Linked DNA regions of Arabidopsis thaliana. The protein of the gene in region 1 interacts with the protein of each later gene in a pairwise test. Each region holds a gene or a part of one and is shown on either strand. Other genes may lie near its edges.

Evidence for each region.
Region 2: the proteins of SCL14 (region 1) and TGA6 interact in binary tests that used the Arabidopsis thaliana proteins (3 or more experiments, as listed by UniProt).

The regions. Positions count from the first base shown.
Region 1 is NC_003070.9:2,313,078-2,318,627, forward strand, and holds SCL14 (SCARECROW-like 14), read right to left. Parts: upstream 3,431-5,550; 5' UTR 3,232-3,430; intron 3,131-3,231; 5' UTR 3,061-3,130; coding exon 751-3,060; 3' UTR 504-750; downstream 1-503. Other genes in the region: TRFL2 (TRF-like 2), read right to left, coding at 5,356-5,535. UniProt on the Arabidopsis thaliana protein: Probable transcription factor involved in plant development.
Region 2 is NC_003074.8:3,904,513-3,909,171, reverse strand, and holds TGA6 (TGACG motif-binding factor 6), read right to left. Parts: upstream 2,822-4,659; coding exon 2,756-2,821; exon of another isoform or gene 2,722-2,755; coding exon 2,647-2,721; exon of another isoform or gene 2,600-2,646; coding exon of another isoform or gene 2,552-2,599; coding exon 2,480-2,551; intron 2,389-2,479; coding exon 2,329-2,388; intron 2,205-2,328; coding exon 2,127-2,204; intron 1,794-2,126; coding exon 1,742-1,793; exon of another isoform or gene 1,493-1,741; intron 1,453-1,492; coding exon 1,181-1,452; exon of another isoform or gene 1,107-1,180; coding exon 861-1,106; intron 736-860; coding exon 589-735; downstream 1-588. Other genes in the region: SCPL15 (serine carboxypeptidase-like 15), read left to right, coding at 4,254-4,387, 4,476-4,621.

The DNA.
Region 1 (5,550 bases):
GTGAAAAGGACCCCTCCAGATCTGATCCCACAATGCCATTCTGACATATATTGTGAGATTCTCACCACGTATTATTGTACTAGTACATGAAGAAATACTTTTATGTCAGAAAAACTCGAAATTGAGTGGGTGTCACGTTTTTGAGTAACTATATTTTTCTGTCTCCAAATAAATATTCAACTCTTTCGGCGTTATAAACAAATCCTGGATATAATAGTTAGGAAAGTTTATTGGATGGATTATTTGTTTGATTTTGAAATTATTGTTTGTTGTTTGTTGTTTGTTGTTCAATCAATAATTGTAAGACTTTAGTTAAAATGATGTAATACTTCTGATTAGTACTAGTAGGCTTTCATAGGGGTTTTCACTTTCCAGGTTTTAAAGTTTTCATTATTATTTCTGATTATGTCGTCCTAGTACATGATTATCTACTTTTCGGTGTGTTTTGTAGTACGAGATGACGAGATGTCACACTCTGCAATAGAACTGTATAAACAAGACACTGAAAAAAATGTAACTTTTCATTATTTATGCAACAAAAGATTACATGAACATATAGCAAAAGATCATGCAATGAGTACTATATCTCTTAGGCTACACTCTTACACACGCTATGTCACAAGCATAATATAACAACATTCTAGTGTTCAAGAACCCTAACTCTGAACTTAATCCACTCGTGTTGGCGAGAGACTATCAACAGAAAAGCCCTACATAAATCCCAGTCGCTTAGAACGTAAGAAACAACATCTATGAAGACGAAGGAACCCATAGAGATGAAGCATACACGATTCTACCTTTCCACCCTTGAAGTAACCAGTTACCGTTTTGATCAACATCGAAGTTTTTATCGTACCCGTTTTCGATTTTCAACTTCAGATTCTGCATCAGTTCCTTCTCAAGCGGAAGCTGTCTAAATCCGGCTCGGATCAGTCTCGCCTGCCACTGCTTATATGTCTCTGGTCTCTCCACTCTCTCTGTTCCTTCACAAGCCACAACATTCACAATCTCTCTCCCATAAAACTCTTTCTCATACATCAGCCTCATCTCGTCTTCCCTAGCTAGCTTCGAGTCACACATATCAAACACAGCCGAGTAATGAAACAACGCTTCTCTGAACCTCGTGACAAAGAATGGCGCGTTGTAATTCCCGCTTAAGATCGCTGGAATGAAGACATTCGGGTTTATTTTTCTTATCAGCTTCAAAACTGCATCTCTCGGGCTGTTTACCAGAACGGTCTCATCTAGAAGGTTCCTGAAACGGAACAAAGAGTTCACAACCACATACTCTCCTTGTCGAAGCTTTAAGTCTTCGACTTGGATCGTTTCCCATTTCTGAGCAATTGCGTTGTACTCAAACGGAACATTGTGTCGCTGACAGTATCGAGCCAAGCGATGACCTGTCTCCTGAACTCCTTCCGCTGGTCTAAAACCGCGCTGAGGAAGCTCTATACCGGTAATTCGAAGCTTAGGCGAACCACCAGGTCTGCTGAGCGAGAGGCGATGAATCAGAGCAGGCCACTGAAAACCGTAAGATATTCCGAAATCTATTATGTGGATCGTGTTGGCGTTTGCAGTGAAACGCATCATGCTGTGGTTAGCAAATATGATAGCAGCTTTCTTGAAAGGGCAGACCGACATGTATGTCTGGTAAGCCTTCAACATGTCTGCTGCAGACGTTTTCTTCGAAGATAAAGCGGTGTAGATCTGTGTACCGGTCCCAGCTAAGCGTGCTTCAAGACTATTTGCAAAATAATGAGCCAACCGCTCTGAACCATTGCCTAGAGGCGAAGAATGCTCTCGTATCTGCCTTAGCATTTCGTTGGCGGTTCTACGATCATCCACTGATACAGCTTGTGCACATAACACCAAAAGAGTCCTCAAATCAGCAGTTTCTTTCTTAGAATCGTTACTATGACTAGTAGAAGTTGATTTCTTCCCACGAATCTTTGCTCCATTTGACTGTGCGGTCACGACTTTAGCGGATTCTGTAGGAAAGTTCTGGTTAAGAATGCATACAGGTTTCCCAGGGCCACATACCAAGATCTTATCAAACATTTCAGAAAGCTCGCTTTCCTCAACATAAACAGCTGATTGCTTGTTACTTCTTTCTTCAACGAAATCTTCATCTTCGTCGCGCCAATGGCTTTTCTTACCAGTTAATCTGTTGGGAGGAGGAGCATAGCTATGATGATGATGATGCTCTGTCTCATCTTTCTTCTCCGTCTTAACAAAAACCTCAGAACCATTTTCCTTGGAACCAGAATTCATAGGGATGTAACTATCCACATCAATAAAGAGCTGAGAAGACTTAGGAAGGAACTTACTAGCTTCCTCAACCCCTTTCTTGAACTGCATAGCCAATTCATCATCTTTAAACATATTCGAAACCAAATCATCGCCAAAACCTGAACCGTAAACCGCACTATTACCACCACCACCACCACCGGTGACACTGTTGGACCTAGAAGTAGACTGGAAAACAAAATTACTCGGCATAGGTGTATGTAACCAAGAAGGTCTATTCTCCAAACCATCAACACTCCAGTGAGAATCAGAGGAAGTAGTGGTAGTGGTGCTAGCGTAATCACTAAAAGCACCACCTGAACAAGAACCGTCAGGGCTATCACTAGCCAATCTCTCAGGATGATCCACAGAAGAAGCAGAAGACGAAGAAGGGTATTTCTCACCAAGAGCCTCATAGAGAGATTTCTCAGCAGCTTGAAGAGCCAAAGCGTCATGAAACATACAAGGCTTCTCTTCCATATCCTCTTCCATAAGAACTTGGCTTATATACTTCAAAACAGAATCAGAGAAATCAGCGTCATCAGATGAAGATGATAACAGATCTCCTGCTACAGCTTTGTTGTTGATGTTGTTGTTGTTGTTGTTCTGGGAGGGATATGCCTCTGGAGGATCCAAGGATGAGAAATCTAAGTCATCTAAATAGAACCCATTAGCTAAACCTAAGGTTTGGTTTGAGGAGGGAGGCAAATCAAAGTCCTTATTGAAATCCAACTCGTCCATGGATCCAGGGAATCCATCCGGATAAGAACCCATGTGGATCCAACTCCAAAAACCCAAAAATCCAGAGTCGTTAATATCTAATAAAGGTCGAATCTTTATTCTCCTGATCAATCACCAAAACCAAAAAAGCAGAGCACTGAAGAAGATGAGAAGAGAAGAGAGTAAAAATTACAAAGCAGGGAGATTTCAGAGAAGAAAGCGTACCTCTTTGTGGATTCGGCAACAAGATGACAAAGAAGAACCTTGAGTAAGAGGGAAAAAGGGTCTGTGTTACTGTGTACGCGGTGAAGAGAGAGAGAGAGACTAGAAAGAAGATGATGAAGCAGATGAAAGATAAGAACTAATTAATTGTTTTTACTCTCTCTACAGAGATAATATAAAAGAATATGCCCTTGTCTCTTTTCTTTTCTTTTAAATTTCACTCAGAAATATAAGTCGATCAGGCAACTTCTTGGGTCTATCTGTTGTCTGAAAAGAATCTTTCCGAATCAAGACAAGTTTCAATTTTCACTGTTTATTGTTTACTTTTACTAGAAACTGATATTTATTTGGAAATTTATCAATTTCTTTAGTTTTAATTTTATTTCAGATATTAATTTTATTATTTAATTAGTTTAGTGAATACGAATTATAATGTAAAGGATGTTAAGGCGATGAGATTTTATGATTCTTTTCTTTCCAAAACAGCATTATTTTTGTGTGGTGAGACCAATCTAGAAAGTACACGAATGAAACAATGTTACTTTCATAGAAAGATAACGTACTATATGATTACTGATTAGTGATTACATTTTATTTTATTTTTGACAGCAGTGATTACTGATTAGTGATTACATTTTATTTTATTTTTGACAGCAGTGATTACTGATTAGTGACTACATAAAATAGATTTATTGAACAATTTTTTGGCAAGAAAAGAAATAGATATACAAGTCACTCTATGGATACCATACCACCAAAAAAATCAATCTCAATATCGTAAGAATTTTAAGGAATATGCACAAGATGGCCTGAGATTCAAAAAGTTACTGTGTATTATGTTTTGATAATCGTTATACAAGTCACACTTTATTATTTCATAGTCATTTTACTTTTCTTCCCATATCTTATATTTCAACATTCCTGGCTGCTCACTAGTTTTTCGTTGACCCGACTAAGATAATAATTCCAATTATAAAATTTGTTATCTCCTTTTTAAAAATCATCTTAACCTTAATATATGCGGGAGAGATGGTTTGGACTTTGGAGAGACCAAAAAAAACTTGGAAGAAAATATTCATGGCCAAGAACAACGAGGATAAATTCCGAAGAGAATACATAACGAAGCCAGTAAGGTCCGTCTCTTGCGATATATGATTGATGTCGGCCTTCCTTAGTGACACTGCTAGCGCAACTGTGTTGTTGCTTTCGGTCCACAAATGGTATCCCAATCTTGAAATTTACTTAAAAACATATAATAATATTCTAGTGTTGGCTAATAATTGAACAATTTCAACAACAAAGATTATGACAATACTAGGAACTAGCAAATGACAATTTTTAAAATACTGCACTTTTAAAGCAAAATAAGACAAAAGAAAAAATTGAGAGATCAGACGATGTGCTAAGCTTGGAAGTTTGGAACAAGACAATTTCGCTGTAGCAATATCATGAATTTCTTACATTAATTGCACCTTACTTTCGCTTCCCACTAAAAGATTGGACTAATCGTAGCTTCATGAACACATCCATTTTTTTTACTTTCGTAGCCACATAGCAAACGATGCTAGCAAAAAAGTTTACTCATCGATAGGTGTCGACTTTTGAGAAAGATATGAAATAATGAAAATGACAACTTCATTTATTTCTCTCGGTTGATCTATGAGATCCTAAAGTATCTCCCATCTTATTCTCTTTTCTTCTGTAAGTGTCCAAAAAAGTCTGTTTAGCCATTGAAAAAAGTCGCATAGCTATTACCACAAAAAGCCAAAGTGAATAATTATTGGTACGTATGTTATGTTTCCTTTTCTCCTTATCAACTCTACCTTTTCTTGTCAAGGAATCTTATCAGGATCTCAATTTTGCAAGGCACCAAAAGGAAGAAACCTCTTATTACAACCAAGCACTGTGACAATTACATAGGACTTCACATATCTTCATCTATATATCTTCTTCTTCTTCTTCTTCTTTACCACACAATCCATTCCTTTTTTTTTACATTGAATCTTCTCAAATACATGCATAAAACAGATAAACAAACAAACAAAAAAGTATATATGAACGAATAAATTCCAGGTTTATCCTGCTAACGTCCATTATCACGTTGCGAAGATAATATTTAATCCCGGCCTATAGACCAAGACTGGTCTCGAGCTGCTGGGGTCCCTCTAGTAACTGGTGTTTCCCCTGTTGCTGGGACCAGTAGGCATGAGCCGTTAGTACCCGGTCTAAGAGCTCCTGTGGAACTGGCTCACCTCTCCTTTGTTGCGGTGATATTCTTGCTGTGTGCACCAGCGTCTTCCATTTGTCCTAATCAATCCCAAA
Region 2 (4,659 bases), on another chromosome or scaffold:
CTTGCCAGTATTGTATTCTCGACATTTGGAAGAAGTCTTCTTCCTGGAAATAATTAGATCTTTTCATTTGTATGAGTATTTTCTCTGACTCAGGTTGGTTATACATAGTATTAGCCAAACCTCTGTAAGCTTTATGTGTGACAGTGTTTACTGGGCAATCTTGCTATGATTTCAAGATACACAATCTGCTCTCTTTTTTGAACTCTCAATATAAATTGATTTGGTCTGCTGGAGTTTATGATCATACAATCCAAGTTCCTGAAAGGATCCCATCTTCTGTCATGTTGGTAATTGCGACCTTACACTGATCACCTATCCGCTTTGAATATTCAAAGACCTATAAACATTCACTCTATAAAACTATGCAACCTGATGGCTAAAAATTACAACACACACAACACTCGAGTCTTGCGGACCTCAGGAAACCAATTTCAAAACCTGCAGTCTTCTTTCCCAAAATATTGCTTTTGGTAAGAATCTGAGAATGCCTTGCTTTGTGATCGATCTCTTGGAAGGAGTATCCCTGCCGATCTGAGTCATAAGATTATGTATAGGGCTGACTGCTGAGTAGAGCACTATTCTTCTGTTTCACTCTCTTGGCCGGGCAAGCCACAAGGAACTAAGAGCACGTAATCGAGATGAATAATCGTGTATAGCAAGAAGAGCACGAGCTGACTGACGTGTTGTTAATACTCGAAGCATCTGTTGTAGTGTTTGCAGCCTCAAGTTATCAGCCTGCCACCAAGAAATGCCCTATGAACTCCATAACAGACGGATTCATATATAAAATAAAATATTTATCTCTTTGTGACGATGAAAAGATATGGTATATCTCGATAACATCCACATTTCTAAAGTACCTGGCGTATGAATCCTTCGAGGGTGCCTAACTGCCCCATTGCCATGGCCATCTGACCCATGTAGCTCGCGACATTATCCGATGAACTGGAACCAAGAGTTCCACTGGATAAAGTATCAGCTAGGGATTGCTGTAAACTCTCCATCCCTTGAGATAAAGCATCTTCTGCCTGCTGCGACGTCTGCTGCAAGCTATTGATGCCCATTACCTGTCGTTCTGTCATGGGCTCTAGCTGATTCGCAAGAAGCTGTTGTGAAAACACTGCGACTCATTAAGTTGGCTGTTCATCAAAATCTCTCTATGGACTTGGAAAGAGCTTACCTTGAGAAGTTCGGATGAGCGGAACCCGCCAAGCCACAAGAAACATCGCTCAGCTGGTGTTTTCCACATTCCAGATAACAAGTGGAAGACATCATTCTTAGCTGCATTGCTCTTAATCCTGAAAAGCTCCTCATAGTGAGCCATCACTCCATCCACAATTATCCGGAGCTCAGTATCACCTGCATGAGCATTCAGGGCAGATCTCAGCTCGTTCATTTGCCTGTTCTTTTCTTCAAGCCATCGTGAGTGTTCTGCATCAAATGCCAAAGCCCCTGCAGAAAGGCAAGTATACTAGATCAAGAACAAACCCTTGCAGACCTAAGCTAACACCAGCGCAAACTATAAGAAACTTCAGTTTTGACATCACCATGACTTTAATTTCCCATCCAGATCATCACTGACTCTTGAAACCATTAACTCTAACAAGTGTAAGCATATTGCCATGAGATGACTTATGCTATCACCAATTCATCAACATATATGTATATATGCACTTATCTCACATAGAAATTTCAAATCAAAAGGATCAATCTCAAAACTAACAGAGAAGAAACAACCCACCATTGCCACCAGTAGAATGAGCTTGGTCTCCTGAACTTGAGATGAAAACTCCCTAAAATTGAAAAATATATATCCTTAAGTGACAAATACACTGTCATGAGTCATGACAAAGAATCTGATAAGAACCAGAATAGAAATTCTCTGTATGCCATCAACATCCGAATAAACAGACCAGAAGGACCTATTTCGAGAGAGTTACCAGCTACTTTTACCCAACTAAACTATGGATGACCCATAATTCTGTTACCTCCTCTACTTCAGCTAACCCAAGACTAGTACTAACTCGTAACTGACTGTTAGTTATAAGTTGAAGTAGCTTCAGCCTTTTATCTTCTTTATAAAGACATACATATCAGAATCAAAACAAATAAGAAAGTTAATAAACCTGCTGTCTTGCTCTTTGCAGCTCCTGCTCAAGTTGAGTCAGCTTTAATCGACTATTCTCCAGCTGCTGAACATACGCCTATGGAGGAAACAATAACATGCTTAAGGTAATGACAGATAGATATTCTTCTAGAGATATTACAAGGAAATAAGAGGAATATATAAGAAAAATCAAAACAAGAACAAAAGCAAAATATACATACCTTCTTCCTCAATCTGCTTTTTCTTGCTGCCTCACGATTTTGAGCAAGCCTACGAAGGGTCTATGGATCAAAACGAAAAGGAAACAAAACAGATTATGCATATGCGTAATATACACAGATGCTAGTTGATCCACAGAGATGAATCTATCACCTTTTGATCCAACTTATCCTTTGATCGATCACTGGAATCAGAGGCAGCAGCATGCATATGCCCTCTATCAGACTGCATGTAATCAACATCAGGAATTACTGTTTCATTCAAACTATGCATGTTTGATGAACATAAGCAAATGACTAGTCCTGTGGATTTGGCTATACCGGTAGAATGCCCCAAGTTTTACCAAGGGATTCCGGTACAAGCCTCCCAGGAGTGACATTGTAGAGATAATAAAACTATAAAATGATTAGAGCCAGATTACGAGCTAACCCCCAGATCTCTATGATCTGTGTCACCATCAGTTGAGACATCAGTCCTTGAACTGGTATCAGCCATACTAGTTTCTGTACTAATACTTGAGCAAACACTATCCACTTGTGCTCCCTTTTGCAATGATAACCTTTCACCTCTGGTGCAGAGTTTCACACTAGAGGGAGGAAAAGCTGCCAAGAGGAAAGAGAAAAGATGATTATGAAAGAAATTAACAGATAGCAGAGAGAGAGAACTGCATCAGTTTGGAATTTGGGCACACTCACAAGTATCAAGTTATTGGCTCACGGAAACCAGCTTAAGTCACACTGCAAGACAACGGTTCAAGTACTAACATGGACTGAAACAAAACAGCGGATTCAAAATCTAACACAAGCGAGAACTAAGCTTATAACACAAGCGAGAACTAAGCTTATAGCAGCTGATCACTCAAACCAATAACTCATCACCAAGGATTCAAAATCTATGACTCTTAACAGAATTCAACAGACACATGAAATTCAAAGCATACTAACATTTGAAATCCATAAGGATTCATCAAGATAATTCGATGGAATTTGGTTGCTGAAAACGTCATCAAATGAACAAAAAAAACTTGAAACTTTATAAGCTTCTGAAAGTCAACTAAGTCTTAATTTCCAAAGGCAAATCACAAAGTGAGAAAAAGTAAGCTTTCCAATGACTAAAGTAAAACAAAGAAGGAGGAAACTTCAAACAAAAGAAAAAGAAAAGAAAAAGGAAAGAAACAAAACCCAAAAAACAAAAGAGCTTGAGTTGCAGAAAGCAAGAAGCTCACCTGAAAAAAACTGAAATCTCCTGTCTGAGTAAAAGGTTGTCCGAAATCGGATTGAAAGAAGAAGAAGCAGCAGAGACACGATCCGTAATTACAATCTCTGAGACGTCGATTTGTCTACAAACCCACCATCCCAAAAAGAAACATCGACAAATTTAACGGGAATTTGCAAACTAACCCCCCATACTATTCTTGTTACCCCTAACGAACTCTATAGTCTTAGCTTTACAAATATTACCCCATACAAATTTATTGAACCGGTTCAAACTGTCAACCGGTCCGGTTTTCTAGGCAATGCTGAAATCATTAAACAATAATTTGTCCTATGTCATGTGCAATAAAATAACCTGCAAAGCATTTTACATGGGACTTTGTCCCTTCTGGCCTTCCACGTACATTCTCACGTCAAGTGCCCAAGTGTTTTCAGCTCAAACCCTCAATTTCAATTCGTTAACCAGTTGGCAGTTGGTAATTGAAGGAGAAAACAAACTCTAAACACCTTTACATCCAAAGGAAAACTAAACAGATTAATTGGAACTGGTTAGAGAGACTAACCCGAATTGTCTCGGGTATAGATATTGCAATTGACCGGTTTATAGAACCATACTCAACCGAAAAGATTCCATCTTTGTTTTGGGTCAACGCCTCTGCTTTTGAGTTTTGAGTATATATAAAAAATGTTAAAACTCAAAAACTAAAACAAGAATGGCTTCCTGGATATTCAAGTTGCTGCTGCTGCTGCAATGTGTGCTTGTGTTGATTCAACATGCTGATTCAAGTTCTATCATCAGATATCTTCCTGGTTTTGAAGGCCCTCTTCCATTCGAGCTCGAAACCGGGTTCTTTTCCTCTGCATTTTCATTTCCATATTACCCCTATAATGTATGTATGACGCTGTGTTCTGAGTTTTAGAGTTACATAATGAAGGTATATTGGTGTTGGTCAAAAAGAGGAAGATCAACTGTTCTACTACTTCATCAAATCTGAGAACAATCCAGAAGAAGACCCTCTTCTTGTCTGGTTAACTGGAGGACCTGGCTGCTCTTCTTTCTCTGGTCTTGTTTATGAGAATGGTAAAATAAAAATCTCTTAACTCTTTCTCATTTGTCGT